Drosophila melanogaster: one gene and its partners. The protein of the gene in region 2 interacts with the protein of the main gene of each other region in a pairwise test. Each region holds a gene or a part of one and is shown on either strand. Other genes may lie near its edges. The genes, in order: CG13102, CG14984, Pex14 and CG6845.

Region 1 (7,513 bases), on a different chromosome or scaffold from region 2:
TGTTGTTCTCTTAGCCAGTCCGTCCAAAGGCGAGTGAGTGTGTGTGGCTGTGTCCAGATGGTCCAACAACAATCGATTGTTATAAATTATTTTGCAGCTTTTGTAATTTGTTATGTGAACAACAAATATTGTCGAAAGCATAAAAAAACCTATTGAATCCTTGCATTCGCAATGACAGACTGCATATTAATGAGGACAGAAAAGAGTTTCGTTGTGCTCCTTAACCTTTCTTCAATTGAGAATAATAAGGAATAGTAAATTAAGGACTATATTTAAATAATAATATTGGTTATTTGTCCTATACCTAATTAATGTTTAAATTTTAAGCTATATTCCACTAACAAATGTATTAACTTCGAAAATGTTTTCTTTGAAAACAAAAAGTTGTATATCTTTTGTGTTAACGAATTCGTCTTTCTACTTATTTAAATTTGTTTATAGGGTTGGAGTTGTATGGCAATATATATATTCGAAAGATTAAATACATCTGCTCTAGGGCCGTTGCGGGTTGTCTATGTCTACGACTTAGTTAGGTGGTGGCCAACGCGGCGTATGCTTGATCTGCCGGGATGGTGCCGCAAGTCGCTCTTCCTGTGAGTGAGCGTGTATGTATGTTTTTTATGGAAATAATATTCTTGTCAGGATTAAAAAGGATACGTGACCGGAATACGAGTGAAATGTGCAAGCGGAAATGTGGCCAGGACAAAAAGGGCAGGAACAAAAAGCGGAAAAAGTAGACAAACAGGAGCCGCAACAGGACTAAAATGTATCTGTCAGACTCCTCGACTTTTGCTATCGTTGTCGCCTGTCGCGTATCTGTATCTATGTTTGTGCTTGTATTTGTCTTGCCAGCTCTTAGCACCACCGCCATCGTCATCATCATCATCATTTCGATGCTTATCCTTGCTTATTGTCCTGTCGGAAAGAGCTCGCTGCTGCTTCTTGTCTGCTACTTTTTTCCTTTTTAATTTTTAAGAAAGCATATTGTAATTCTGTTGTTTACCTGTTTGGACACTCGGATACACGTACTTTTTAAATCTCGACCGCAGGCGATCCATTGTTTTTTTTTTTTTCTTTCGTTCTTGCCAAATTGGAGTGCTCCCTCCCAATGCAATGCAAAGTCAGTCATTGGTCCTGTCATTTGTTATATTCTCCTACGCATCCTTGACAGCGGCTTAGCATCCTTGTTGTTATAGCTGCTTAGCTATTCGTGACATGTCCGGGGCAATGCCCACGATTGTGATGTATGATTTTCAATTCCACCTACGGCGAGTCCTTTTCTAGTATTGTTGAAATTATCCCTTGGCTTGAGCAACAAAAAATAGTATGGAATCATTTTTTTGTGGCTTATCGTGAGTTTACTTGGCGGCTAAGCTATGTGCTTTCTTCCTTTTAACTAAATCTTAGGTTCTAAACTAATTGAACATTTTATTTATTTCTTACTTCATCCTGTTGTCATAGCCCAATGCAAATGAATCACTTTTTGTTTATAAGGTAGAAACTTTTAATATTACATTCACAATCGGTTTTTATTTCAAATTAATTTATGATGAACGTTTAGGGTTTCTTATCTGGGTTGAAGCTTATTACTCATCGTCATGAATTCATATCGACTTCAGACATTACCTCACATAAACAAACTTAACTTTTAATAACTAATAATAATACTAAAAAATATATTCTGAGACACATACATATAGTATTATAGTATTTTATAGCCTTGTTTTGTCTCACATATAAAACGTATGTTATAAACATGGCGGGTATCATTTATTGGAATATTATCAGCTAATAATCAGGATGTTAGACATTGGTATAAATAAGCCATTGTATGTCACCTATCAATTGGCAATACTTGCATAATGATTTAACTTTACATAGACTCATGCGGAAAAGCATATAAAACTTGGGAAGAGTTCTGTTCCCATTTTGGCTTTAGTTATCACATTGGAATTTATTTGATAACAGTTATCCGCCGACCTGAAAATGCACTTCATCAGCAGAAATCCCCGTATTTGGCTTTAGTCAACAATTCCTGACTCAAAGTGGGTTTGCGGGCCTAGTGATAACATAATCTAATCTTTATAACCGACATAAAAGCCGCTTTTATTGAGGTAAAATGTTGGACTACAAATTGAGCAGCTATCGGCTACACTTGATTCAGTTTCGCTTGAGGTAGCCTTACGAAGAGTTGCGCTTATAATTATTAGGAATAATATTAACCTATCGAAATGTGGAAGAAAATAATTTTCTGTGTGGTGCTTGTGGCCTTTGTGGTTGTGCCGTTTGGTGAGAAGAAAAAGTGATCACAAAGTTGAATCTTTGCTAATGGAATATTTTTATATATTAGCCAACTCACTGACCTGCTCCAAGTGCACATCGCCGTCTGGATGCAAAAGTCCTTCCTCCGAAACCTGCTCCAATTCGACGGCCAATGCCAATAAGGAATTTCTGGAAGGATACCATAGTAATGTGCCCACCGTTAATGGCAGTCTGAGTTTTTCGTGTGCCAATCTCACTTACTATCATGCAGCAAGTATGTTTTTTTTTTTTCTGATTTACGCTTTTGAAAGAAGACATCCTAACTTGTTTTGCATCCCTTTTCAGACTACACTCACACCTTTGAGTTCCTGGGCTGCGTCTTCAACGAAACGAATGTCTGCAATCTTTCCCTGAACAACACCGCGAGTGGATGGAGCAAGAAGTGCCTCCAATGCGGCACCGACTACTGCAATCCAGCTGGAACCTACAGCAGCAGTGTCTATACAATCGTGGGATCCGCCATTGCCGTGATTTTGGCCAAAGTTCTAAGCTAAACTTATAATCTGACGACGGAGCTAAACAGTATTTCAACTACCTTTTGATTGTACAATATTTATTTGAATTAAAAATAAAATCATTTAAGATAACGAACAATGGGATCTTATCATAAAAAATGCGTAAAATTTTCTACATGGAAATCCAATATTGATTTTCATTTCTATCTTGTTCACCTAGGAGATCCTGACTGTTTGTTTAAGAGTCTTATGGGTACGCATTAATATATATTAGCTTATAAAGTTTACTAATCAACACAATTACAATCGTATTTATAAATTAAAGCATTTTTCTACAAGAAAAAAACTAATTAAGATGGACTAAAATGTAACCATTGCATATATTCTAGAAAATAAAAATGTAAATAATCTTTGACCATAAATCATGAAGAGTTGCCAATCAACTCTTCAAGTTAATGAGGTAAAAAGTTCCCCTTCCCAATTGCTACCAATTCTACGCAACAGACTTATCATTTATTGCATATAGATTTGGTGGGGACTAAGATAAGAGCTCTTTATTAAAGCCGCTCAGGTGTTAGATTACCAGGTTGTGACTAATATTTGAAACAGTGGGCTAGGCCCACGAATTTTACAAATAAAATTAAAAAGAATTTACGCTTAAATATATATATGTATTTATATATATTGCTGGAGGATTATGAAATGTTTGTTATTTCGGTAAAGCAGTGAAATTCTTATTTGATTTAATATGTTTAAATGAGAGTAGGAATACAGGAATATTTCCAAAAATGAATGAGTTTCGAAAGGGGAAACCCTTACTGCTTCTCCATTGAAACTTTTTGATAAGTTTATGAGCCTGTAAACGTAAAATGATAAGATTAACTTAACAAACGACATACATACAAGCTTATCTCAAAGAATTGAGTATTGTGCAAAATCTGAAGAGAATCGCCGTATAAAAGAGTTCTTGGCATTTAAAAAGAGTTTAGTTTAAAGCGAATCGACATCTTGCAAAGTTGTACTACAGTTAAGTGTGAAGTAAAAATATTTAAACCAAAATGTATATGAAAGCTTTAATAGTCAGCATACTTGTGGCCTTTGTGTGTGTGCAAATTGGTGAGTCAATTGCGTAAAATGTGAAATTCGAGATCAACTGATTGTTTTTAACATGGATTATAGCTGATTCCCTGAAGTGTTACACCTGCGTAACGCCAAAGGACTGCAAGAGTCCCAAGAAAGTCACCTGCACGAATGCGGCTGCGAATGAGACTAGTTACTACCTGGGTGTCTATCATCAGAATGTTGGCAACCTAACCAGCACGCGATTCGATTGCCTGGCTCTGAAGTACAACTGGAGTGAGTAGCGTGGGGACCCCAGAAGCGGACTATAAAGATTTATTAACTACTTTCCACTTGCCAGATAACGATGTGATCCATCAGCTCCATGGCTGTGTGCATCCAAATGTTGGAGCCTGCAGCTTAGCACTTAAGCCGGCCTATGCTCACTACAATAAGACCTGGTGTCTCACCTGTTCGGGCGACAAGTGCAACAAGAATCCGGCCGGAAAGATGAGCAGCAGCACTATTGCCATCGCGTCTAGCGTTCTGGGTCTCTTGCTGGTCAAGATGTATGCCTAGTGTGACTATTAATAAATATGAGCTAGGAGCTATGATATTTTATATTTGATATTTTTTATTGTACCGTCAATTTTAGTAATATCATAATTTCATTTGTAGATTATGTAGGCCATGTTTATTCGGTCGAGCAGTTAACTAGGAGTGGGTATCACTAATCGATGGCGCTTGAATGGACGGTGGAGTGACGAAAGTTGTTGGGCGCTTCTCTAGGAGGAGCCCATTGGGTTGACGGCGTTTGTCTGCAGGTTCTTGAGCAGCATCTGCAGCCACTGCTTGGTGCACGTGTCATGTTGCACGAGCGACGTGAAGGTGCCGTCACGCAGCAGATCCGGCAGACACACTCTAAGTGCACTGCGAGCGCGCGCATTTTCCGTAAGTAGTAGATAGCAGCGCACCACATGCTTCAGCACCCGGAGGCATGGAAACTTCAACATATGGATGACCATTTTGCCCAGGGTGATGGCCACCTGCGAGAAGCGATCGTGGTTCTCGCAAATGTACGTCAGACCCATCTCATCGAGCAGTATCTTCTCAAGGATTGAAGTGGCCGCGATCTTGGTCAGCTTCGATCCCCTGACCATATTGGTCAGACAGTGAGGCACGACCTCGCTCCATATCAGGAAGATGAGGACCTCCGTATCACCGGTCTCGGCCAGAGCATTAATCACGCCCAGCGTGGTCAGGCGCAGCTGCTCGAAGGGCCTGCTCTTGAACGTGGTCGACAAGAAGGGGTACAAGTACATCGGTATCTGGTCCCGCAGGAAGGCCGGGCGAGTCTCCGGATGCGAGGCGACGCACTGTAGCAAAGTCAGGGCGTAGCACACGCGGTTCGACTGGTTGGCCTTCAAAACGGGCGTCGTTATTATGGGGTATATGTTGACGATCTCCTGCAGCAGGGTGCAGGTGGTACCGACGCTTTTCCACAGCATGGGGGCCAGGTCCGCATAGGTGTTCTTGCTCAGCTCCAGCAGAGCGGTCTCCCGCGTGGCAGGATAGGCCAGCTCGATGATCAACTGGTACACCTTCTCCCGCTCGGCCTGCTGCTGGGGACTCATTACCGGACTTGGTTCCGCACTCATCGCAAAGCTGGTTTTTTTTCGCGTTAGCTTGCAAAGATCTAGTAGCTTGGAAAGATCTGGCTCCGGAATTTCGACGGACGATTGAGAAACGTGGTTTCGAGTTGGCGTCTATTGTGGTTATCGATATAAGCTTCAAGCGAGAAAGGACCGAAAGCACGTGGCCGAACAATGTGGCCAGAGCCGAGGAACGCACGAATGCCATAAATTAATAAATAATTTCTTGTTCGAATGTCTCCCAGAATTTTGTTTCTTATCACCATTGATTTGATTGGCAGCTTGGAATTCGTCTGGAAATTCACGTTTTCTCTATATTTTACAAGTATTAATCGGTAGATGATTAAAATTTATGATTCTATTAAGTATGTCATAGCATAGCTTAGCTCTCTGAAATGGCCAGACTAATTGCGCATCTGATGGAGGTCCGATTTATGGCTTAATGACCATTAAGTACTTTTGGACACCAGTTTTAGAATTAATGAATTCGTATTGACAAATACTATAAATCAAAAATCATTCTAGCACACACAAATATTTGCCTTTAAAATTTTCAAATATTTTATCTCGCATTTAACCCATTAAACAGATGGATGCTTGGAATAGTTGTCCATTTCTGGAATTACTTGCCAATACAGAAATGGTTAACAGAAAATGTATTCTTTGCCACATCGTGCAACATTTCAATTTTGTTTGTTGCAGAGAGCTTTAAAAATTTCAGTCCGTCACATAAATTGGCCAACTATCCCAGAGAAAATCGGAGATTCGAACGAGCCGAGAAACAAGAATAAATCTTTAATAGTGTTGCCGTCTGCCTAAAAGTCAATCTCACTTTTGCATGCCGAACATTATCCGGTGGGTCATGTTATGGTTATCGTGGCTCGGTTTGTTTGGAGCTGCATTCAGGCATTTAATTGATTGATTGTTGCTCGTCTATGTCTGCATCGATTTGGCCGTGTTCACGCCCCTTTCACCCTTTCACCGAGCCGCCTCCAAAATCCCGTTACAGCGTCCCCTTTTTCGGATGTTTCATAACCAAAGCGGAAGGGATCCATGCCGCCCATCATATCGTGCACGGTTATCAAATCGACTTCCAGGCTATATCCTCGCATACATGCATATGTGGTCCACGTTGTTCCTGCTGCCAATTAGTGTTGGTGCGTCATCTGTGTGGCTGTGTGAGTGTTCATGTATGTATGCGTGTGTGCACGTCATCAATTAATTTTTGTATTGTTACTTTTTTTTTTTTTGACTGGTTTTTTGCAGCCCTCGGTGGGTTACGTGGGGAATACCCCTGTTGACTGATTGGTTTCTTTTCGATTCAATTGTTTCATGTGTGCCTCGGAATGGGAATGGATGTGTTTGCTAAACAAAGTTATGACTATGGTCACGGCTATAGCAGCTGGCTCAGGACTAGCTATACAATACTATAGTTTTACTATAGGCAAGCTTAAGAAGTTATTGTTCCCTCGAGATATGCGAATCAAAACGAGTGTCACTAAGAAATTATAGTTGTTAACAATGGAAAGTCAACACTTATGATACAATTCTTATCTGTCTTGCCTTAACCAATAACTGTAACAGTCTTAAATACTTGAATACAAACTACTGCTTACATTTGAGACCTACCCAGATTCAAAAATCAAACATCCGCACCACCAGGAATATTCTTACTTTCCCCTTATCTGTGCTCCAAATCCACCCTCGATATCCGAAACTTGTTGGGAACTCCCGGAAACTAAATTAAGTTTAGCTTCAACTACAATATGTACATTTGATTTATGCATTGAGAGACCATGGAGCAACCTGCCCGAGACCCCAGAAAATTTCCTCCTGCGAAAACGAAGACGGGAACCCTCTGATAACTAAGCCAAACCTATTCAACTTTCACGTTCGCATTGTTTGCACGAGCACGAAAAGTTATTAAGATGCATAGACGTGATTTTGCATGTTTTAAAAAAGAATACATAATGCCACAGATGAGACGGGGGAGCAAAGGACGTGGTATTAGTTGGGGGGAAGCTG
Region 2 (7,105 bases):
ATAGTAAATGCAAAGTAACAACAAAATATTGAAAACCATTCGAACTTAATTATACAACGAGCAAGAAACCATTAATTATAAACACACCGCCCCGCCCCCCACACCCTCCCTCACACAACATACAAATACGCCCACATTTTATAGCAACAACAGATTATATTACATCGTATCTACATACGTGCGCGCCATGTAGATAACCACGTAAAGTAATGCCGCATGTCGCAGTTCTAGCAGCAATTCTAGAATCTAGAATATCGGGGCAGAATTAGAATTTAGACCAGTGAGTGCTATGTGCATTGTTTATAGGGCCATAGTTCGAAATCGTGTTTATGCATGGCTTTATTGATGATTATTGATAGCGTTTTAAATAGCATTAAATGCCTATATACACATAAGCAAACCAAATAAAAACCGAAAAAGAAAAAACCAATGAAAAACTAAAAAAAAAAAACGTATATAAGAAATTCCATTGAACAGTAGTGGTAACAATTATGTGATTTGCAATTTTACATTCAAAATATATATGAAATAATTACGAATATAAATAGATTATATATTGAGGCGAGCGTTTAATTGATTTATTTATGAGTAAGATTTATTTATACACATTATACACCACAAAAAATAAAAGTGAAATGAAAACGAGAAACGAGAAGCAAACAAAATGACAAAGAGCTAAAAGTATGAAGAACTCGAATGAATTGAAGTGGGGCTAAAATATGAAGCTAAAAATATTTTTACACAGCAACCTTGTTTTATACACGCAACAAGTTGAGTCCCAAAATCGAAATACCCCGAACACAACTGCAAAAATTAATTAGAGCCCCCAAAACACTTACAAAACAGATGTGCAGCTGTGCTCCCGATTTCTCTTTACTTAACTTTAGTTAATTTTGTTTGGTTTCAAAAATATGTAAACACATATTTTAATGTTAAATACACATCCGAGGTTTAAGTTTAATATTTAGGTTCAGTATTTACCGGTATGTTCATATTACACAATTGGAAAAATGTGTTATTTAATCAAACCATAAATATATATTTATCCATTAGTTTATATAATCGTTGAAAAGGAAGTCGGGAACTTCAGCTGATCGGCCCAAACACCCTCTTGATAGAATGAAATAATTTCTAGATTAAAGACACCAATTACATTTTGATTATTATACAATAAACAAAAGGGCAGAAATCGAACGGTGAGATATTTTATAAAATGAACGATGAATAACGTAAAGATATTAATTTATATATTCATATATTAGAGATGCAAAAAGACTTGAACAGTTATATACATTTAAAATTGCAATATATTGTATACTTCATTAAAAAAAAATATATACATACATACCGGCATATATGCAACCACGTATATAAGTAAACATATTTAACTTATTTATATATAAATGCTTACAGCGAACCATAAACATATACATCATAAACCGAATCTCAACTTTTCCAATGCAAGACGAATAGGAATCCCTCAAGTAACTCAAGATCAATTCAAGTATATACTCAATGACCACACGGCCGGCGCGATCGCCTGGCCGTACAGGAATATATATAGCTAAAGATATATAGTAATACGTATGAATGCAATACGATGCCACGCCCACTCCCGATTGGCGGGCAGCGATTTTAAGGCGCCGCCCCATCGGAGTTTTCACAGATTAGATTTTTCCTTTTGATACTTAGCATTCGTTCTTGTTCTACTTTTAGTTAGAGAATGTTCAACTAGTTTCAGCTTCCGTAGGAGTTAAATAATCGACTTTAAACACAAACCACACCTAGATGAACGAACACCCAGCTATACTAATAAGCCCGTTACCCCTTGACCCTTGACCCTTGACCCCGTAACCCCATACACTCTATTAGACACTAGCCGACATCTACAGACCTACCCACATGCATAACCATGCGATTTTATGGCAAATATGTAGAGCATATAACCTATTATATCCCAAAGAAAGCTAATCCATTCTTAAATTAAAATACACACGAATAGCCGGAGGAGAAAGCGAACCGATTCGATTCGAAATTCGAATCATAACGAACGAAAGCAGAAGAATCACACCAGAAGAATCCGTTATGGAAATGACAACAAACAAAGAATTAAACTCCCCCCCAAAAGAAACAAACAAAAAACAAAAAACACGAAGCATCCAATACAAAATCCGAAAACGATGAGTCGATGGAATATAAATTAGAATCATAGTTATAAACGCTACACCCACACACTAGTGCAGCCATGTAACTATTTTTAGAGCCTCGGAAATAAACATACATAAAATACATAAAAATATTAAATAAACGACAGAGAAAACCAAATACTTGTTTTCTGGCTCTTATTCATGGGAAGTGGGTTTGAGGTAAGTACATTCATTGCAGATAATTATAATTATTTATCTAGCTTAAAATTAATTGCTTCAATTTTCTTTAAATTTATTTAATTATTGTTATTAGTTGCCTAGATATATGAAGCTATTGGCTATTGGCTACACTCAACAGCACTTTGTTTAAATTAATTCTTTAAGCACCTATGATTGCATATTTATGATTGCAATTAAGCTTCTTGCTCACTTTTTGAAACTTTAATTAATAGAACCACTTGAAATGGTCGGACTTCAATGAAAGTTAATTCAATGGACCATAGAGAACACGCACTTTGAGTGCACTCGAGTCCAGTACAAGGGCTTTACACTGAAAGTAAAAGGGCTGATTTGTTTAGATGCCATTGTTTTAAGGGCAAATTATTGCGCAACTAATAAACTATGCATCGCTGATTCGATTCAAATGTGGAAGCCACACGGGCAGCTCAGTCAACAAGCGGCATTCAGCAGATGGCTGCACATCATATAGTAGTATACTATAGTATATGTCTATAGTACACAGTACTTGAGCATTATATCGCAATCTGAATGGGGCGGGGCACACACTCCCACACACACACACAGAGGCGGGGGTACAAGTGCCTCGTCATGTGGAGTGTGTTTAAATGAAATTGCTTGATTCGGCATAAACATATTTACTCTGTTGAATATTTGCCCAACAATTTGATTCGCAATCTGGGCGGCCATGGGCATGGGCAGGTCTGAAATGCCGAAATCAAAATGGAATTGTATCAAGGACGCGGAACAATCGAGGCGGGCAAACACACACACACACACACACACACGTGTCGAGGAGGCCTCGTTCCACATGCCTCCTGCCAATCCTCCGGATCGCAAAGTCCTCCACTTGCATTCAATGGCGTAATCGCAGGCAGATACAAGTACTTGTATTCCGATTTCCGCCGCTGCAGTACAACCAAACCCAAGCCCAATCCCAATCCATACACCCATCCATCCGACGACCCGCGGCATTTCATCCACAGATGTCAGCAATTTCTCGATTTGAATGCTCAACAAAAACGAAAGTGGGCAAACAATTCAAAGGCGAGTGCGGAGCAAAAATAACTGGCAGCAGGGCGCAAAAAAGACGAACCTCTCCCGCGTAAATGGCTTCTCTAACGACCCAATTAATTTGAAACAAGTTACAGAAAAAAAAAAAGAAAAAATGGCAAAAAAAATAGAATAACGTTTGAATTTAAGGAACACAATCAGAGTGTGGCGGCGTTGCAGGAGTGGAGCGCCACAGGCCACTAAATGCTGGGTTAGAAACCATGCCCTTGCTGTTCTTCCGAGGAAACCCCTCCCCTCAACACCCTAGAAACTCCGGCAATTGCCGCGAAGCCCCAAGCTTTTTATGCCCCACCACAGCTCGAAAAGTTCGCCGACAGCTTCATTACCAGCCATCATCGGAGCCATCATCATTCGCGTGCACTGCGAGAAAAGGGGAGCATTTTTGGTGCTTAAAGAGGTGGGGTATAAAAGGTGCAAGCGGATACACTGCAAAGTATTTTACAAACACATTTAAAATATATTTCAAAATGGTTTAAGAAACTTCTTAAGCTGAACTGATCAGCTTTCTTTTAAAATACTTAATAAGTAGTAAGTAAAGTGCATGCAATTTCCCTGCAATTCCTGCATATCGATGACATAATTTTTCTCTCTCTGTTTGGATGCTGCTACCCATGAGTAATTGGCCCGGCAAAAGTTCGCTGGAGTCGAGTCGGATTTAAGCTTGGCCGTTGGCCGATCTAGCCTGAGTCTCGAGTCTGGAGTCGCGTCGATCGCAGTCCGCCATCAAATCGCGAGAAGTTCACAAATAGAATAGCCATGGTCAAGAAGACATCCGCCAGCCTGGGAAAGAGCATCTTGCTGGGAGTTCTGTTGTTTCTCGCCGTACACGCACTTCTCACCGAGGGTAAGTGGAATGGCTGAAATATATGATGTACTTTTACGGGCACTAAATGCTTAATATTAATGGCACATCTGCTTGAAATATTTGCGGCTATTGTTTTGGAATGAGAGATGAAAACAGGTTTTCGAGCGCCAGAATCGCCGGCCAGTGGCGTAGTTTCTGGGGATCGTGGGGCACAAAGCTCACTGTTACTCGGCTCGTTAGTCATAATTACGCTTTGTCGTGATTCAAGGCTTCCGGGTGTATGTCATAGCCAAGGCGGCGCAGATTAACCAGCTGATAAGCCAAACAGCAACACAAATGGAAAAATGAAGCGAAACATAATTTAATGGCGTGTAATTAAACTGAAACACCCCACCCCACCCCTCTCTCTCTCTCGCCCACCAGCGGCCCCCTTCCAGGAGCTGGAGCCTCGCAAAGGTCATGTGCCCGTCTACATCCGACATGGCGATGAGCCACTCAGCGAAATCCATCCAGGACTGGCCGAGGCCTTCAAGGAGGGCGAATCGAAGGTGAGTCCAAAGGACATTTACTGCTAGTTCAGGATTATGTGGTCGTTATTTGAAGTCCTTTTGCTTTATGTACAACTGTGGTATATGAACTTGCAGAAGTTAGTTAGATCGCTCGATTCACATATATTCTAATGTTCTCTTTCATTTCAAATTTTTTAAATTTGTTATTTCATGCAGTTTCTACTCATATATATAGTGTGCTTAGTTTGATTCGTTTTTATGAAAACCCCTCGGATTCACCATCATTTTACTGCTCTTTTCGCAGAGTCTCGTCACCGAATCTCCCCAGGCGGAAACTACAAACCCACCAACCACATCCGATGCTCCCGCTCCCGCTCCGTCCAGCTCCACGGTATCGGATATAGCCAGCTTTGAGGCCATCAAAGGAAAGACGGATTAAGGAATTGAATAAATTCAAAAATTGCTGCTTAAACTTATTTAGTCTACGAGTTAAGTCCATCAAACGAAAGCGCCTAAGGTCTGGTGACAAATCAGCAGGCGAAATGGTGTATATTTAAACATGAAATAAACATTTAAATAAGGCCAGTTTTAACTGAATAAATTATATTGCTTACTTTTCTTAGGCATAATCCGGAAAGAGTTATAATCAAATAGTAACCAACTATTTCGCCATTAAGTATGGATTTGATATACTATATTTTAGAAATTAAAAGCCTACTCAGGTCTTGCTTTAAATCAATGTTTTGCCTTGGCGAGTTCGAAAAGGTCCTGACCCTGTTTAAAATAAACTGTAAAGAGTTTTCCAACTTAATTATTTGTACAATTTGCAAAATTACCGGGCACGTTAAGTCGCTTTAAACGATGCCATTCCCATTCGACTCAGCATCGTCACCATCGCCATAACCAACCAGCCAGGAATTGTGTGTCCTGTCTGGCGCGCTTAAATGAATTTCTGAATTTCTGTGGACCCAAGCTCGTTAAGAGCTGTGCAAGTTTCACACATTGAATGGAAATTATTCGGTCCTTTTGGGTTTCAGTTTCAGTTTCGGGTCCTGTTTCTCTTTCTGTTTCGGCTTCGAAGTCCTCGAAGCTCGTCGCTGGAATCGCCTTGGAGCTTTGAGTGTGATTTACTTGTTGTGCCCATTAGGGAGTAGCGGGCACCCCTCAAATGGTAGGAAGGACACCCAGACACCCGGACGCCCGGACACCCTGAAGACCAGAATCAGGACCAGGTCCTGGCCAGGAAGCTGTGTGGCGCAAACGTTCGTAATTAATATAATGGCAACGGCTGGGCCGAGTAAAACTCCAAAATGGCCTACACACGTTGCGGTTCGGCTTTGTTAACGGAATGGGAGAATGGGCGTTGTGGTCTTGGAGGATTTTTTGGCCCGTCCTGGCTGATTGGGGGCGATCACAAATTGTTGTTTCATTGTCTCACAGCCCGGCTGTCTAACGAGCAATAAAACTAAATACATACACATAAAGTTAATTATAAAAGGGCAAAGGAAATTGGAAGGTCCCAGACTATTGAGCTACTACGATGCAAGTGATGGATTAACCAAGATGGAGTGTCCTTCGCGGCGGTTAGCTGGCTTGGCAATTGGGGGGCTGGGGGCTTTATCTGCAGACGAAATCGGGCTGCAATCAAGAGGGCATTAAAAGGAAGGCAAAATAGGAGGGCAAGAAAAAAAAAAGTGGCTGTATAAGGAAAAAAGCAAAGGGAAAAACCACCACAAGAAATACATACAACAAAAAAGCGACGAAAACTATGCGTAGTAAAAGCGAATTTTATGGAGCATCCTCGTTTAAGAAACAGCTCCTGAATTTAAATTCCTCTGCGTACAATCACATATAAGCGAGTATTTGCACACGCACACAGATACACCAACGCACACACACACACACACACTAGCTGCCAAGACCGTGTTCTTGTATCATTGTGTGCGTTCGAGCGCATTCAACCTCAAAATGAATAATTGCATATGCTTCAATGATTTGCGACTTTATTCGAGAGCGCAAGCTTCTCGCAAGCTGCTCCTTTGCTCCTCTGCACCTCCGCTCGCCAACTGCCAATACTTTAAAGTTAAAGGCCAGGAGTTCAATTGCAGGACCTAAGGACATGGCAGATGAGATGGCAATGGTCGCCAATGAGAATAAGCCACCAGTGAGCGACCCATCCGGGCTAATTTGAGAATTGCCCGGCTTAATTGCGTGGCACTTAAACAATAATCAAGTTAACGGTTATGCCGGCGATTATCGCCATTTTTACACCGATGCCAATACTAAGGATTATTGGCTGCCCATTAACAGGAGCAGCAATTCCAATCCGAGTC
Region 3 (7,123 bases), about 17 Mb from region 2:
CCACAGTTTCCGATGACCATCAGCAACACCAGCAGTAGCAGCAATTTGGTGGCCGCCTCGCCCACAATGAGTGTGCAAAGCGATTGCTCTTCGCCCTCCTCGTCGACGATGTCTCTTTCACCGGCTCCTGCTTCGGGCGGCTATCCGGATGGAGTGACATCTGCCACAGCGGCAGCGGTGAGCATTACGGCAACGACTACCACATCGGCTGCTGGAGCGGGATCTGCATTTGGCCAGGCCAATAGCATCAGTAGTTCCGCATCCACGCAAGCGGTCATCAACTCAGCCGTCTAGATTTGATTCTTTTTGGGATCTTGCTATCCACACATGGTTCTATTTTGTCCATACTATCTGTGCACTTTCTGTTAGCATAAATTAGGGTTACATTTGAGGAAGAAAAAACCAATTGGGCCTGAAGCCACACTAGCGGCCATGCTCCCAGTTCTGAGGTTTAGTTTTGTGTAATCGGATGATAATCGCTTTAATTTAAACAAACGCGGAAGCCAAAGGGATGGCAACTTCTGTTTTTCCGAAAAAGTACAACTATCCAATTCCGTTTTCAAAATGTATCGTTGGAACCAGGAAAACGCATATACATATTACGCAATATTTTGTAATTTCTTATTTTAAAAACTTAATTTGTAACGTTACACATCGCTCGGTGTTAATCAAATGATGCCTGTCCGAATGGTAAATTACGTTTGGGTCAAACAACAGGCTTTAAAACACTAAATATTTTGTTACACATTTTTGTACTTCTTGTCAAAGCTTTAATTTTCAAACGTACACATTTTTGTACTTCTTGTCAAAGCTTTAATTTTCAAACGTACACAGTGCTCGGCCTTTGGCAGCTGGTATTGCCCCCATCGCAAGGTATAATTAATTGTAAATATGTTATATTTAATTTGAAATAGCTGATAAAAATGCCGGCCTGGCCGCTGTTTATCTTATACGATTGTACCCAACAAACAAGGGCCAAGCTACCCAACAAAAGACTCTAATAATGCATACATAGTATGGGTAGGGGTACTGTTCTCTATCCTTGTTTCAGGGTATTTCGCAATGGTTTGTCCATTCACAAAACGAAGTGAGAAATAAAGAACACATTCATGTGAACTGTGAAGCCCTTAACAATCGTTTGTGAGAATATTAACTTACTAGAATACATTAACTTTTACGAAAATGGCAAACAATTATTTGAATACTAAATTATCGTATGTACAAATCGATAACTAACGTAAGTAGTGAAGGAAATTTAATGAAGGGAATGCGCAGAGAACCAAATTTGTAATTGAAACAAAACCATAACTAGGCACCGCACAATAAATAAATAATTTAAATCCGTTAAGGATCTGGGTGGAGTCTTCAAGGAGCTTGTAGGCAAAACCTCGAGGTGCTCCGCCCGGCATAATCTTAAATCAAACCTAAGGGAATTTAGCCAATTTATAGAAAGTAGCACTCGGCAAAATTTTTAGAATCCAATTATCGTCTAAGTCGAAATTTATTGTCTAAACCGATATGCTATCCCCACCCCGTATGTACCGATAAACAAAAAACTACACAAAGCATTTTTGCGCTTAATTAAACAGTTTCTTTCAATTCAAACCTGTTATTATGTAAACTTTTTATTATTACATTGTATAGACATCGTATCGCATAAGTGTGTATATGTGAGTGTGTGTATGTACTTTTGGATATGGATTAGCTGTTGACTATAAAGAAACCTTAAATGCTATAAACGCAAAGAAAAAAAACCAAAAGTCTTGAAGGCATTTAACGGGGAAACTCAATTTACAGCGTAACTATATACTACGTCTATATAGCCAGCCTCGTATTCTGATTGCATTACATGATCTCCAAGCTGGAGTCACTATTCTTGGTGACCACCTCTGTCTCCGACGAGCCAGACCCGGATCCAGCATCATCGCCCTTCTCGTTGTCGTCCGACCCGCTGTGCCGGTGATGGTGATGCGGTGAGCCGGCCAATTGCCAGGCGGGAATGGATGGCACTGCGATCGGAGCCACAGGGCCGGCGAACTGTTTTCGGTTCAAAAGCAGGCCCTTAATGGCATCCAGATCGCTACGGAAGTTACTAAATTCGCGGTTCAGCTGCTGGGCGTGTTCCCTTTGCTGTGTGGTGATCAGATCCCTGACCGCCAAAATCTCCTTGTTGAGGTCGTTGGTGCGGGTCTCTACCTTCTTGTCTATGTCGTCCAGGACTTCATCGACCGCCTTCTTCTTGGACTTGCCGAACAGGTAGGGCGCAATGTATTGCTGAAATTATACGGGTTTTAGAAGTTATTAGCAATCATGGACTTTGGACTGGTGGACCACTTAAAACTTATTTATGCGTCCTAACACTTTTACAAAATGTGTTAAATACTAAGTAAATTCAACGTCGTCTGGTAAAAGTGTCATCAAATATATGTGTAATGTATCTAAGCCTTAGACAAGATGGCGATCTTTAAATTCGCACTCGAGTTGGTGGAGTAAATATAATAAATCTTTTTAAAAGACCCCGAAATAGAGATCCCACTGCATCTCACCTTCCAGAAGATGTAGACTGCGTAGACGACTCCGCTGAACAGGGCTGCCGAATGGATGATTTCCCTGATCCGGCCCAAGACAGTCGGCTGCGGCTGCAGCGCGTGCAATTGGGATCCAATGCTAATGACGGTGTTCGGATTCGGATTGGGCTTGTTGGGGTCTTGGGTGAAAACGCCGGCCCGTTCACAGGCCAGCTGAATTTCGTGAGCGGTGAGACCTTTGGACCGTAGGAACTGCTGCTTCTGGATAAGTGTCGTGTGGCGCACCTTGGTGTTTTGTAGAAAACTGACTGCAGTGGTTATCTGCGGCGAATAGTCGGATTATAGATTAGGCAAACTTGAAGGGGTTGAACAAATATTACCAGCGATTCTCGAGGCAATTGCTCATCTACGCCGGCCTCGACATCGTTCTGCACCGAGGTAGCCGTCGCCATGACGGTGGTGTCCCCAGTGTCCGTGTTGTTGCTGGACATCTGTATATCGACTCTTAATTCAATCTTGCCTAGCTAATACACACGAAAACGGAGTGAATCCGAATTCACGAGCAATTCGATTACAAAGTGCACAAAAACAAAAGTGTGACCAAAGACTTTGCTGCTCTCGAAATTACTAATGCATTAGCGTTTCTAGGGTTATTATGTATAACGTTAAGGTAATTTGTAACGTAATAAAGATTTGAACTTGGAAAAATGTTTTTACCGAAAAATTTGGTAAGAAATGTTTCTATTATAAAGAACATAGTACCTGGGCTAAAATTTTAAATGCATAATATACCCAATAAAAATATACTGCAGTATAAAGAATCAGGAAACTTGAATTAAGATGCCGAGACTAAACAAGCAAATCTTTACATTGAAGAACATTAAAAGGGGCTATGAAAGGTTGGTGGCAGATATGCCAAATGTGGTTCTTACAAATTGTGGGTCCTTAATTATTAGTTTCTTTTTCTATGACGTGTAAGCACCAATGTGGTAAAATTTGAAAGTGTAATGGCGATAAGCTCGTGACACTGGTATTTGGTATTTATTTTTGTACCAATTTTATTAATCCAAAGCGTTTAATCAACGCTCTCCGTGCTTGCATTCATATATGTATTCATTTTGCGTCACCTTCTATTTTGTGTTGCATGAAAGCACTAACGCCTTGTTCAAAACGCCAGAACACCACAACTGCACCGATTTGATTACCTGTAGACCGAAACACCTCATTATTTTTATTATTTGGAGGAACAGACAATATTTTCCGGATATAATGGACACTCTGAAGGGCATGCTGAAGGCGTACGAGGCGTGGGTGGGCAAAAACCCCGACGTGGTGGGGGATTTTGAGACCACAGCCAAGTGGGTATCCTACTTTATAGCAGGTAAAGTGAACTCCTTGCTTACATAGAGCCTACAGACTCATCTCATTGGCCGGCTTCCAGGTCGCATTTCCTCATCAAATGTGGTCAGTGAGCTGGTATATACACTGTCAAACATGCTGGTGTTCTACAACGACCGGATCATCGAAAAGGCACGCAATTCCGAGGAGAATTCGGTGATCCACCTGCAATCGAAACTTTGCTACCGTCTAAAGGTCACGTTGACGACGCTCGAATATAGCGAGGTTTTCATCGAGATATCAGCCCGTCGGCTTTTCGGTCAATCCGGCAAGTGGCTGGTGATAGCGCTAATACAGGCCTTCAAGGCAGCGGGCCGTTTCTTTATCTTGAAACACTCAACCTCGGATATAATCACCTCACCGCCCATCGCCGCACTGAATCGAAGGGCCAAACAGAGGAAGAATTCGGGGGATGGTGTGGCCTCCTCCACGAACGATTTATTGCAGTCCCAGCACTCCATTACCTTCCAATTGAAGCGATCTGGCCGTGTGATTCGTAAAGTGGAGGGTGCTCCTCCCCTGCAATACCGCGACTTCAAGCTTCATATAGACAACAATGAAGCGGCGAAGACGCAAATTCCGAGGAAACTCCTGCAAGCAGAATACCTGTATATATCGAAGCCACTAATCCACCTGGTCGCCATGGGGCTGTTCGGCCGGAGAAGTTGGAAGCAATATATGGTAGCATTATCCATTGATTTGTATAGCATTCACCTCTACCGCCAGCATCGCGACCTAATGTCCAAGCAACAAAAACTGGAGCTGAGCAGGCGATGCATAAACATCATGTACTTCCTGGTCCGATCGCCGTTCTATGACAGCTTCACCAAATCCAGACTGGAGCGGATCCTCGACTTTGTGGCCACAAGTGTGCCCATTGCTAAGGTGGTTGCCAAACCCCTTAAAGATTACATTCCCACGTGGCAAAGCACTTACTTCTATCTGTGGTCCACTTAGGCATTTCAGGTAGAGCGTTAGTATTCCCCTAGGCTAAGTTTTAAAGTTACAGGTGTGGACGCATTCGGAGTGTTGAGGGTGGGTTGAGTTTTGGTCCTTGAAAAGTTGTTTGCACAATAAAACGATGGAGTAATTTTCGATATGTTTATAGCCAACTTTCATATTCCTTGAATTGACCCACCCACATGGCATTGCCGCTCTTGAGGTGAAAAATGATTATACATCCCAATTGCTTTGTATGGCTTTTTAAATTATATATGGAACAATATTTATACACATACAATTAAACGAAATTTTCCACTTACATCGCTAACTATACATAACAATTAATCGTAATCGTAATGGGCTAAAACACACAGAATCAGAACTTCAGACTGAATCCCGGTCCCATGGCCAACTGGCGCTGCGTTATTCCAGCGTTCAGGACAAATCCCGTGCTAGCCGACGATCCACCAGCTCCGTGGCTCTTCTTGTTGCCAGTGATAATCCCAGATGAGAGCTTGTTTCCCGGTCCCACGATGATGGGCTCGTCGCGGCCTAGTTGCTTGAACTGCGAGCCACCGGATGGCGGTTTGGGGGAAGAGGCTTGCGCCTTGCGGGCTCCCAACTCGCTCTTGGCCGGCCAGGTGGGAAACATGGATGGATCGATGGGCAATGGCAGCTCCTTGAAGAAGCCGTGCTTTAGTGCCGCGTCGGCGCTCAGTCTTTGTTTCGGATCGTACGTCAGCAGACCCTGCAGCAGCGACAAGCCCATTTCAGAGGTCTTCTCCTGGAAGTGCTTGCGCAGTTGCGAGACGGGATACTCGGTAAACTGAGAGTTCTGCGACAACATGTTCTTCACGGCTGGGAGCTCGGTGTATCCTGGCCAGATCTTCTCGTTCGGAGTTCCCAATTCCTAGAACAATAAATCAAAAGTCAATAAGCATTCTCGGCAAATGAATTTCAAAGTTAATACTAACAATTGTTCAACAAGCTTATTTTAATAACTAAACTTTAATGCTCAACCACAGCTTACCTTAAAGATCCTGTTAAGCTCATCGATTTCAGATTTTCCCGGAAAGAGCGGCAGCATCTGCAAGAATTCGGCGAAAATGCAGCCTACCGACCAGACGTCTATGGGCGTGGAGTAAACCGGCGAGCAGAGAAGGAGCTCGGGTGCACGATACCAGAGAGTGACAACAAGTGAGGTATACTTCTTGATCGGCGATCCATACTCCCTTGCCAATCCGAAATCACCCACCTTGAGAATGCCCTTGTGGGACAAGAGGAGATTGGAGGTCTTCAGGTCACGATGCAATATCCAATTGTCATGGAGGTGGGCCACCGCCCGCAGAAGCTGCTGCGTCAGACATTTGACTTCTCCGGGGAAAAAGCTCTGCTTACGATTTTTCATCGTTTCCATCAGGGATTTCAGGTCGTGTTCTACATAGTCCATCACAATAAATATCTTATCCATGTTGGATCCGACCACGATCTCGCGAACGGTCACAATATTCGGGTGCTGACCCTTGAGAAGAGTGTTGATCTCCCTGAGTGATGTTATCGGAAATCCCTCCTTTTCCTTCTCCATTTTCAGACGCTTAAGAGCCACAATCTCATTGGTTCTTTTGTCCTTGGCTCGATATACCACTCCATAGGTTCCCTCTTCGATGCGGTTTAGACACTGGAATTCCTCCACAGACCGGCAGCCCTGCACACCGGGATAATAGTTGGGCAGGGGAATGCCCTTGTCATCGCACGGAATTTGCTCCTCCAGAGACTTCTGTTTCTCTTTGAGTTTCTCCTCGGGCTTCTCTTCCGGCTGCTCTTGGGTCATTCCACGTTCCTCGCTGCGTGTGCTGCTGCTGGGTGAGGCATCTGCCCCCACGTCTTGACGATCTACCTCATCCTCTAGGCTGCTTTGACTTCTAGAACGGGATCTGGACCGACTGCTTCGACTGGACTGGGAGCTGCTCTTGGAGCTTACAGAGCGAGATCGCTGACGTTGCTTGGGCGACTTGTATAGCTCACCCACGCTAAGTGGACTGTCGGGTAAGGGTAAATCCTCGTCATCGTCTTCCAATTGAGACTTGGATTTAATCTTGCTCTTCTTTTTGCTAGCATAGCTGTCTTCGCTTCCAGACTCTGTTGCGCTTCCTTCGCTGTCTTGCTCAGGAACCTCCTCGTTTGAGTCGCTCTCCTCGCTTTCCTCATCGTCATCATCTCGGATAACCTCGATATCATCTTCCCGCCGCTTCTTG
Region 4 (8,086 bases), 3.8 Mb from region 2:
CTACTCGATGAACTTGCTCTTTCGGCTGGTACCGGAGCCCAGCAAAGACGAGCGCAAGGCCGTAAGCGACATTGATTTCTGCCGCAGCAATGGTGACATCCTGGCTGTAGCCTACGGACTGTACTCATTTTCCTCACAGCACGTACCGACCTCCGGCAGCGTTTTCCTGTGGAGCATTAAAAATCCAGGCGAGCCGGAGCGCGCATACTACTACGATGTGCCAGTAACGGCAATAAACTTCTCGCCATTCTTGCCATCCTTGCTCGCCATTGGTCTGTACGACGGCAGCGTGGAAGTGCGAGATGTGAGCAGTTTGCAGGACACACCCGTTGCGGTCTCGCAGCGCAGCACTTCGCCAGGCTCCTCGCCGGTGGTTGCCATCCGCTGGATCAAACAAGTTTCAGACGACGATCATGAAACAGACATCGATCCATTCCTGAGCCTCTCCCAGGATGGCTCGGTCACCCGCTTCCGGATTATCAAAAGTCCCTTCCTGCTTGGTTTTACCCAAATGATTCTGGAGCGAGTCGAGGGGCATCCTGAGGGCATTTTCGTTCACCCATCGTCGCGTATCCCCTGCGAGTCTAACCGCCACCCGCAAGGCTTAAGCATCACTACACATCCTCTGCACAAGGACATTTACTACGTGCTGACAGATGAGGGCTGCATCCACAAGTGCTCAATCAATTATCAGCATCAGTACTTGGAAGTCCTGCGTTGTCACGACGGGGGTGTCACCGTAATGGAGTTCTCGCCTTGGTCTCCCAAACTCTTCCTCACCTGCGGCAACGATTGGTAGGAAGTGGCCCTCTATCAAGGGTAGCTAAAGATAGTATCTATTCTGCAGGTTCGTACGCATTTGGGTCGATGGCATCACGCGACCTCTTCTCGAACTGCTAGACGAGATGACCCCAGTGCATTGGGCCAAGTGGAGCCCCACCCACTCTACGATTATTGTGACGGTGAACCGGGAAACCGCTAACGTCTGGGACTTTCGCCGAAATTTGCTAAGACCCATGTCCAAGCACAAGATGGACTCTTCTTTTAATACTGTGGCCAGGTAAGCTTTTATTGCTTTCCGCAAAAATGGCCAATTGAATAGGAATTTCCTTTACCAATTCTTAGGTTTTCCCACTGTGGTCGCACATTGGTTATTGGCAACGAGCGCGGGAACACGCTCTTCAACGCCCTGAACGACATGCCCTTTTCGCCACACTTCCAATACGACGAGTTAGAGAAAGCCATTTTCAAGGCAATTGGCAACGACCACGAGCTTCTTATGGAGCTTAAAAGCATTGGTTTCTTTGGGTACCCAAACAAAAAAGCAGTTTTTTAGATAGGAAAAATGGTATTCTCAATAAAACAAAATAATTCGTCGGCCTGAAAGCGAATCTGGATGGCACTGATGAAATGTTCACGCATCAGCTATCTAAGAGACACAACGGCGATCGATCGAGTGTCAAACAAAACTACCCAATAGTAACTTGATATCATCCGAACGGACCGGGCATTACCTTGCACAAGCACAAAAATCCGTTCGAAAAGATGAGCTCCATTGTTTTTCGAGTGTGTGTGGTTGACTGTCAACGATGGTGGTCAAGTGGATAGGGGTCGATATAGGGTCTAGAGGGATCGGTGCAAGTCGACGGGTGTTATATAATAAATGCTCGTATAAGCTTGGTAAATGGAAGCCGCATGTGGGGGAAGAGCAGAATTTATTAAACAGTCGTAAAGAGAAAGTCAACAATAATGAGAAGATGTTCAACAGCACGTTACAGTCATAGCCCAAGAAGAAATAAAAATAGGTATCAAGCAAACAAGCCTTTGATAAAAAAGAAAAAATCGAAAACAGGGGTGAGAACAAGGTTATTTTCTGAATTGCTGTGTAGCCATTTGTCGCTGTAGTATTTAATTAAATAATAATTTCAGCCCAGAAGCTCGCCAAACAACGCAGTCCCCGTATTGCGACTTCCATGGGCGGTGAAGGGTAGGAATTGCACTGACATCAGATCAGCAATAACAAGAGTTATTTTTATTGAATAACTCACCTATAACCATATATTAAATTGTTGGAATATCAGGTATTTAATAGGTGGAAATATTATATTTCTGAGCTATCTGCATAACGTGTATGCGCTCACAACCTCTATGTTTAACTGTTTTTCCCTCGTTGCTAGCGTTGTCCTCCACAGGTCTTCCTGTACTGCCTTTCGCTAAAAGACTCTTTTTCAGAATAGTCCGAAGAGTCGCTGCACAAACAAAACCATTAAGAATAGTCGATTAAACCCTGGTTTTTACTCACTCTACTTCAGTAACGTCGGAAAAATCACCATAATCCACTGGTCGATTGCACAGACAACACTTATTGTGTGACTTTTCAAAGCATTTACCGCAATAAACCCCTTTGCATCCAGGAGTGTCGCAGGGGTTACGATTTGAACTAAAAAGGGGACATCCAACTGTAACCCGGAGTGTGTTTAACGATTGGAGTTACTTACAGAGTCAGAGATCGGCCACATATGGTGCACCTCTCAGTGCTTTGACAGGATGAGCAGCAGGAGCACATGCACATTAAACAGGAGAATCTATTGTTCAGCCAAGTGTAGTTTCTGGTGTGCTTCACATTCCGTGTGTGGTTAAACTCATTACGCTTTCTGCGGCGGATAAACTTAAAAATGCTTGCTGGAGAGAATACATTAGAACAACTTTAAAAGGTATGTACTTTCTTACTTCTATCTTCGGAAATCATGTTGTACAGAAACATGCCTCTTTCCTTGGCGCGTTTTGGATAAAAGTGGGCCATTATAAGATGGCGAGTACGCAAAATATACGGCTCGGCCAAAAGGATCAGCCAAGCGAGCAGACAGAGTAATAATATAATTAGATACTCCGCATAATCAGGTTTCACGGGCAGCGGGAGGCAAGGATTCACGTCTAAAATGCTTTTTTGCGTCAAGGGTCGAAAGGCATTAGCGATTCCCCGCATGACATCCGCCACAAAGCCCCCACCCTTAATCTCTAGATCGACGTAAGCGGGCACCTCCAGCCCAGTCTCTTGGTGGCCATGGAGGGATATAGTTGCCAACAGCCAGAACAGCCCGTAATCCAGAAAGCAAATCGCAAACAACTGCAAGCAGGTTGTGGCCATGAAACAGGCGTTCTCAACAATGGACACGAACTCAAACAAAGTCAAACGCAAGCTAGTAAGCTGCAATGAAATCATTGTAATATTATGTCAGGGAAACGTAGGGAAACCTTACCTTCATATACTTTGCCCTTTCAAGCTGATGAAGGGGTAGCAGTGGATCGTAACCGTGCTTTTCGTGCCGCCGGTCGATATCACTTAGTATCTTTGTCAAGAACACATTCTGAAATTGCCGGCTGTGCATATATCGAAGGTAGAAGATGGTGGCTCTGATGGGAACAATTGAGGCATCACCAACACTAAATTAATAAGATGATTAAGCTCTTGCCTACTTAAAAAATACAGTAACCACCATGACCCAGCAGAGAATGTCCACAAAGCTGCTCAAGAAGATAAACGACGACAGACGCTTGTTAATATCCTGTAAAATTTCCTCCCCCACGTCCGTCAGGCTCTTTGAAGAGTTTGTATCGAAGAAAAATTCGTGCTCAAAAGTGATATTGGCATCAAACATTTCCTCGATGTGCCGCACAAATTCACGGTAGCCTGCGAGATCGTATAACTAATAACCAAAGTACCGATCGTTGTTTACACTCTCACGTTCTGCGATTTTATCAAGAAGACCCCAGCTGAGATCCCAGTAACCGCTGCAAAACACATCGATGATCTTGGCTGGATAGCAGAGGGCCAGAAACAGCTTTGCAGCATGGCATAGCGCCTTGAATACGCCCATCTTTGACTGGCACCTGATCATTGCGTGATGCGCCGTCTTTTTGCAACGTGCCCAGGGAGTGCCCATTTCTGTGTTGCACAGGTCTACGATGGATTTCAGCCAAGCGGCGCAGTTCTTCAGGGTTTTAACTACAAAAATGAATCAGCAGAGAAAACTGCAGCACTTTTTAATACAGATACTCACTAATTGCGATCAATTGGTCCTGAATGCGTAACAGCACTACCATGGCCAGCTTGAGCACCCGACGCACTTCCCGCATCAAGAGATCCACCGCTAGCTGGATGGCATTCACCGGCTCCAGTATTACGTCCAACATCTGGCCAAGCGCCTGACGCAATAGCTCCTGTCCGCAAGCGAGGCTGCGGAGCATCACCTTCAAATTGGCTAGAATGTTCGCCGTAGGCCCAACTGCGGCAATAACAAAGGCAAGGCTGATGAGGAACGCCCTTCCCCGAGAGCTGCACAGCGAGGGAAGGGCCAAAGTCACAATGCACCTGGCAGCCAGTGAGGGAACACTGTTAGACACAAATCGTTTTGGGCTTTTTCAGGTAGTTCTTACCTTACGGGCCTGCTGTAAAAGACCGCCAGAACAAGCGCCACCGGAATCGCGAAGGTGAGATTAAGACCCAGAACCAAGTGGCCCAGCTGCCACCAGTTCCATGCGAGCGTTACCGCGAGGCCGCATAGGTAGCCGCCAATTACGTATGGTGCCACCAGCTTGAATGTCCACATAGCGCCATACCTTGGCTGACTTTCTTCCATGATTTTATTTTGATCGATTTCTTTGTAATTTATTTGTAAAGTCTAACACAACAGTCGGAATCGATATCGATATTTTCTCTTGGCGCCCCACTTAGTGTGACCAATTTAAATGTGAGTTTTCATTGTTATCGGAAATGTGACCCTTCTTAAAATCGAAAAGCCTATTGTTTGTTGTTTTTGGCTTATCCGATTCATTTTTGGCGCCCAAAAAGAATTTAAAACTTAACCGATTGCTTTTTCTGTTTTTCGCTTTTTTGTTCCTTTATTTCAAACAACATCATTTTTTCTCTTTCAAAATAACAGTTATTTTTGATTTATATATCTTATAAAGTTACGTCGTGTGATCTAAGCGAGTTTCGGATTTGAAATGCGTAAAACGCATCGCTGCATTCAAATCCAATATTAATACTATTCAACGAATCTATTTATTATAATATAATGAATAATAAAATAAAAATTATAAAAACATAAACATAAAATAAAATTATATGTAACTAAATAATAAGAAAATAAACAAAAAAATAATTTTTATTAATATTTTTCTCAAAATGATCAAGTTATTTTGGAGCTTCAGGTTTTTATACAATTATGATAAAAATAAATATATTAAATACTCGTACTGAAAGAATTCGCATACACTTGCCCCTGGTAAAATTGGAATACTTATTGATTAAAACATATGATGATTTTAGTATTCCACTAATCGTCCTACAGGTTTACCTATGCACTTTTCGATTTTATGGGTCTTTCCGTTATCTCCTCTTTTTTCTTTTTTCCTGTAGGCTATAAAAGGTAAAAAAGGCTTCTGGATTTGAAGCGCAATGCATTTGCAATTATTTTAATTAGGGCAAGCCCTTTTTGGATTGCAGAAATAGAGCTGTCTTTCTATATCTTAGCCCTGTTCACTGTACTCTTTCTTCGATTTTAGGTACTGCAGCACAAGCGTAGGGTAGAACAAAGTAGTCAGGTCGTTTTATGTGTATCTTACGTAGATTTTGAAACCTATTGAAATGTTGTATCATTTTGCAACGTTGGATACTGGGATACGCGCACTTATTACCCAATCAGTTAGATATTGCCAATTGTAATAACCAAACGAACCAAAATAAAAACAAATTTTATCGTAATTTTGTTACTTTGAAATGTTTTTGTATTTTTCTTTAATTTTTCCTGTTAATGATACGTTCCTTTCGCTCGATTATCTTTTTTTGTTTTACTCGTAATATATTTTTTATTTTTACATGCTTCTCTTTTTTGACATTCTTGTTCTGGTACTCATATATAGATAATATATAATTTGTTTAAATATTTATTTTACAGATTTCTCTCACTATCAGTGGCTCTCCGTTCTATGACATCGTTTAATAAATCGTAATTTTCGTTTAATTTAATTAATTGTATACTTATGTGTGTTGTTGCATATTGCGTTAATTTTAATTTACTTAGGTCGCCAAAAATAATTTACTTAAAAGTAACAAAAAATTAAATTATGTTTAGATGTATATCGACCAACGGCGATATGTATGTACAAAATGTATTTTTTGCTTTCTTTCAACTTCGACTCCTTACTCTACACCTCTGCTCATCACTTAATTACTGTAGCTTAAAGGTAAATATGGGAGGGGATGGGCGCGTTCTAGTAGTAGCAGTGGTAGCAACTTAGACATTTACAACATTTAACTAATTTGTTTCAAGAAACTTTGCAGTCTGTCTTACATCTATTACATATATCTTTGTATAAGACTTGTTTTACACACATTCAATTGGAGTCAGTTGGAGAGACAACGACCGCCAATCTTGACAATCTTTGAACGACTGTTGAGTTTTTAGTGGTAGCCCTTACAAAATAAAAATATAATTTAAAATTCGTTCTTTTATTAGGGTAGCTCAAGTCTTATACATTTCATTATAGGGCAAATAGGTAAACGAAAAGCATAATGAGAATGATAAATAATGATAATTAGCGTTAAACTGTATATTAGAATTACCTAAACAGTTGAGCGTGAAGCTGGAAAAACACCGATTTTGTGACATCGATGGTTTTCCGGCTCATTCCCATCTCCTTCCCCACGACTTAGGGTCTTTTTGCCGTGTGCATATAGCTCACATAGTTCTGTACATAGTTACACTGTTTACAAAATTTATATTAACATATATGTGATCTTCCCACGATAACAGAAACAAAAATTATTTCTCCGACGTACATACACATATTATGTATATTACAGTTTCCAGATAATTTCCTAGTATTATACCATTTAAATACGGATTTTAGTTTGCTTCACGAAATTACTTTTAATTTAAGCCTACAATGCCACCTTGCCTCCGTGTGTAATTCATTTCAATTGCGACTAACTACGCGCTAAATACGAATATATTTGTATTTATGTATGCTGTATATAAATATTTAATTTAAATTTTAAATTGAATTTACTTAGTCGTTATAGATGTATTTTACTTTAGATAAGTTTATTCTAGTGTTATATTTTCGCCCTAAGCACAATACAAATCGGAAAACAGAAATTTGGTTCTAATTAGCACTAGAGACACGATCATTATTTCCCCTTCATCACTTACTTCTACTTCTAAGCTTACTTCTATTCCCGCCCTCTTCTACGCCATCGCTTCGTTTGCACTAAATTTCAACTAAATTAATTTCACATTGCTATAAATAGGACTACGTTTACTTAGACGCCGTCTTCTTGCTAGGTGACGTCCCCGTTCTGGTGCTACCCAATGTCCGGTTGTCAGACGCCGTCGAAGCTTGAGGAGCGTTTACGGGGGAACTGCGTTTCACCGTGGGCGAATTGCTTGAGGAGGCGGCGGATGAATTTGAGATGACAGCCAGGCTATTACTGCTGCCGCTGGAGCAGGACACTGCAGATGTGGAGGAGGGATCTCCGTAGGCCAACTTGCGCATGTTCTCAATAGCTTCCGACCAGTGGATAGCATAGCCTTCGGGATCATCCAGGTAATAGGTTCGATTTGGCTGCAATGAAACCAAAAGAGTAAAATTAGTTGAGCGCAACGCTAATTTTAAACCCATTCACCAAACAAGTTTGAGTTTTTATCTGCCTTGCGTGTGCAGTTTTCAATGCCGCATTTAATTTGCTTTCATAGCCAACACGTGCCCGGGACATAAACTAACGCTCAAATTGCTTTTCAGTAGGCGTGTGACTGGCTACGAACTATAAGCTGTGATGTCATCGGTTCAACAAACTTATGCTTTCTCGGTTTTCCGAGTTGCGCCTCGTGCATCCTTATCCCACCATAGGTAAACACTTACCGTATGGACAAAAAAAATTTTGAAGTTTTTGTACTCCGCTCGGAGATCTGGGCTCCACGGAATTTCTCCTTTTTTGATCATCTGCACGGGATCGATATAGATGAGTCGCGGTCCCGTGGTCAGAAGGAGCATTCGCTTGCGGGCAAACAGACCCTTGCGC

The links.
Region 1: the proteins of CG14984 (region 2) and CG13102 interact in a two-hybrid assay, tested with the Drosophila melanogaster proteins (one large-scale study listed by BioGRID).
Region 3: the proteins of CG14984 (region 2) and Pex14 interact in a two-hybrid assay, tested with the Drosophila melanogaster proteins (one large-scale study listed by BioGRID).
Region 4: the proteins of CG14984 (region 2) and CG6845 interact in a two-hybrid assay, tested with the Drosophila melanogaster proteins (one large-scale study listed by BioGRID).

What each region holds. Positions count from the first base shown.
Region 1 is NT_033779.5:9,008,429-9,015,941, forward strand, and holds CG13102 (uncharacterized protein), read left to right. Parts: upstream 1-3,759; 5' UTR 3,760-3,835; coding exon 3,836-3,893; intron 3,894-3,956; coding exon 3,957-4,133; intron 4,134-4,197; coding exon 4,198-4,415; 3' UTR 4,416-4,621; coding exon of another isoform or gene 4,622-5,494; 3' UTR 5,495-5,721; downstream 5,722-7,513. Other genes in the region: CG9568 (uncharacterized protein), read left to right, coding at 2,232-2,289, 2,351-2,536, 2,608-2,816; Rcd-1r (Rcd-1 related), read right to left, coding at 4,622-5,494.
Region 2 is NT_037436.4:3,949,458-3,956,562, reverse strand, and holds CG14984 (uncharacterized protein), read left to right. Parts: upstream 1-4,012; 5' UTR 4,013-4,214; coding exon 4,215-4,302; intron 4,303-4,686; coding exon 4,687-4,811; intron 4,812-5,076; coding exon 5,077-5,211; 3' UTR 5,212-5,370; downstream 5,371-7,105.
Region 3 is NT_037436.4:20,774,829-20,781,951, reverse strand, and holds Pex14 (peroxin 14), read right to left. Parts: upstream 3,154-7,123; 5' UTR 3,020-3,153; coding exon 2,909-3,019; intron 2,850-2,908; coding exon 2,547-2,849; intron 2,275-2,546; coding exon 1,846-2,274; 3' UTR 1,574-1,845; downstream 1-1,573. Other genes in the region: Pcif1 (phosphorylated CTD-interacting factor 1), read left to right, coding at 1-294; Pex16 (peroxin 16), read left to right, coding at 3,798-3,909, 3,970-4,883; pitslre, read right to left, coding at 5,245-5,778, 5,899-7,123.
Region 4 is NT_037436.4:143,058-151,143, reverse strand, and holds CG6845 (uncharacterized protein), read right to left. Parts: upstream 4,712-8,086; 5' UTR 4,641-4,711; coding exon 4,438-4,640; intron 4,373-4,437; coding exon 4,062-4,372; exon of another isoform or gene 4,007-4,061; coding exon 3,746-4,006; intron 3,692-3,745; coding exon 3,478-3,691; exon of another isoform or gene 3,415-3,477; coding exon 3,261-3,414; intron 3,209-3,260; coding exon 2,731-3,208; intron 2,683-2,730; coding exon 2,499-2,682; intron 2,441-2,498; coding exon 2,303-2,440; intron 2,250-2,302; coding exon 2,174-2,249; 3' UTR 2,088-2,173; downstream 1-2,087. Other genes in the region: Dic61B (dynein intermediate chain at 61B), read left to right, coding at 1-795, 848-1,060, 1,126-1,336; Pdk1 (Phosphoinositide-dependent kinase 1), read right to left, coding at 7,324-7,629, 7,927-8,086.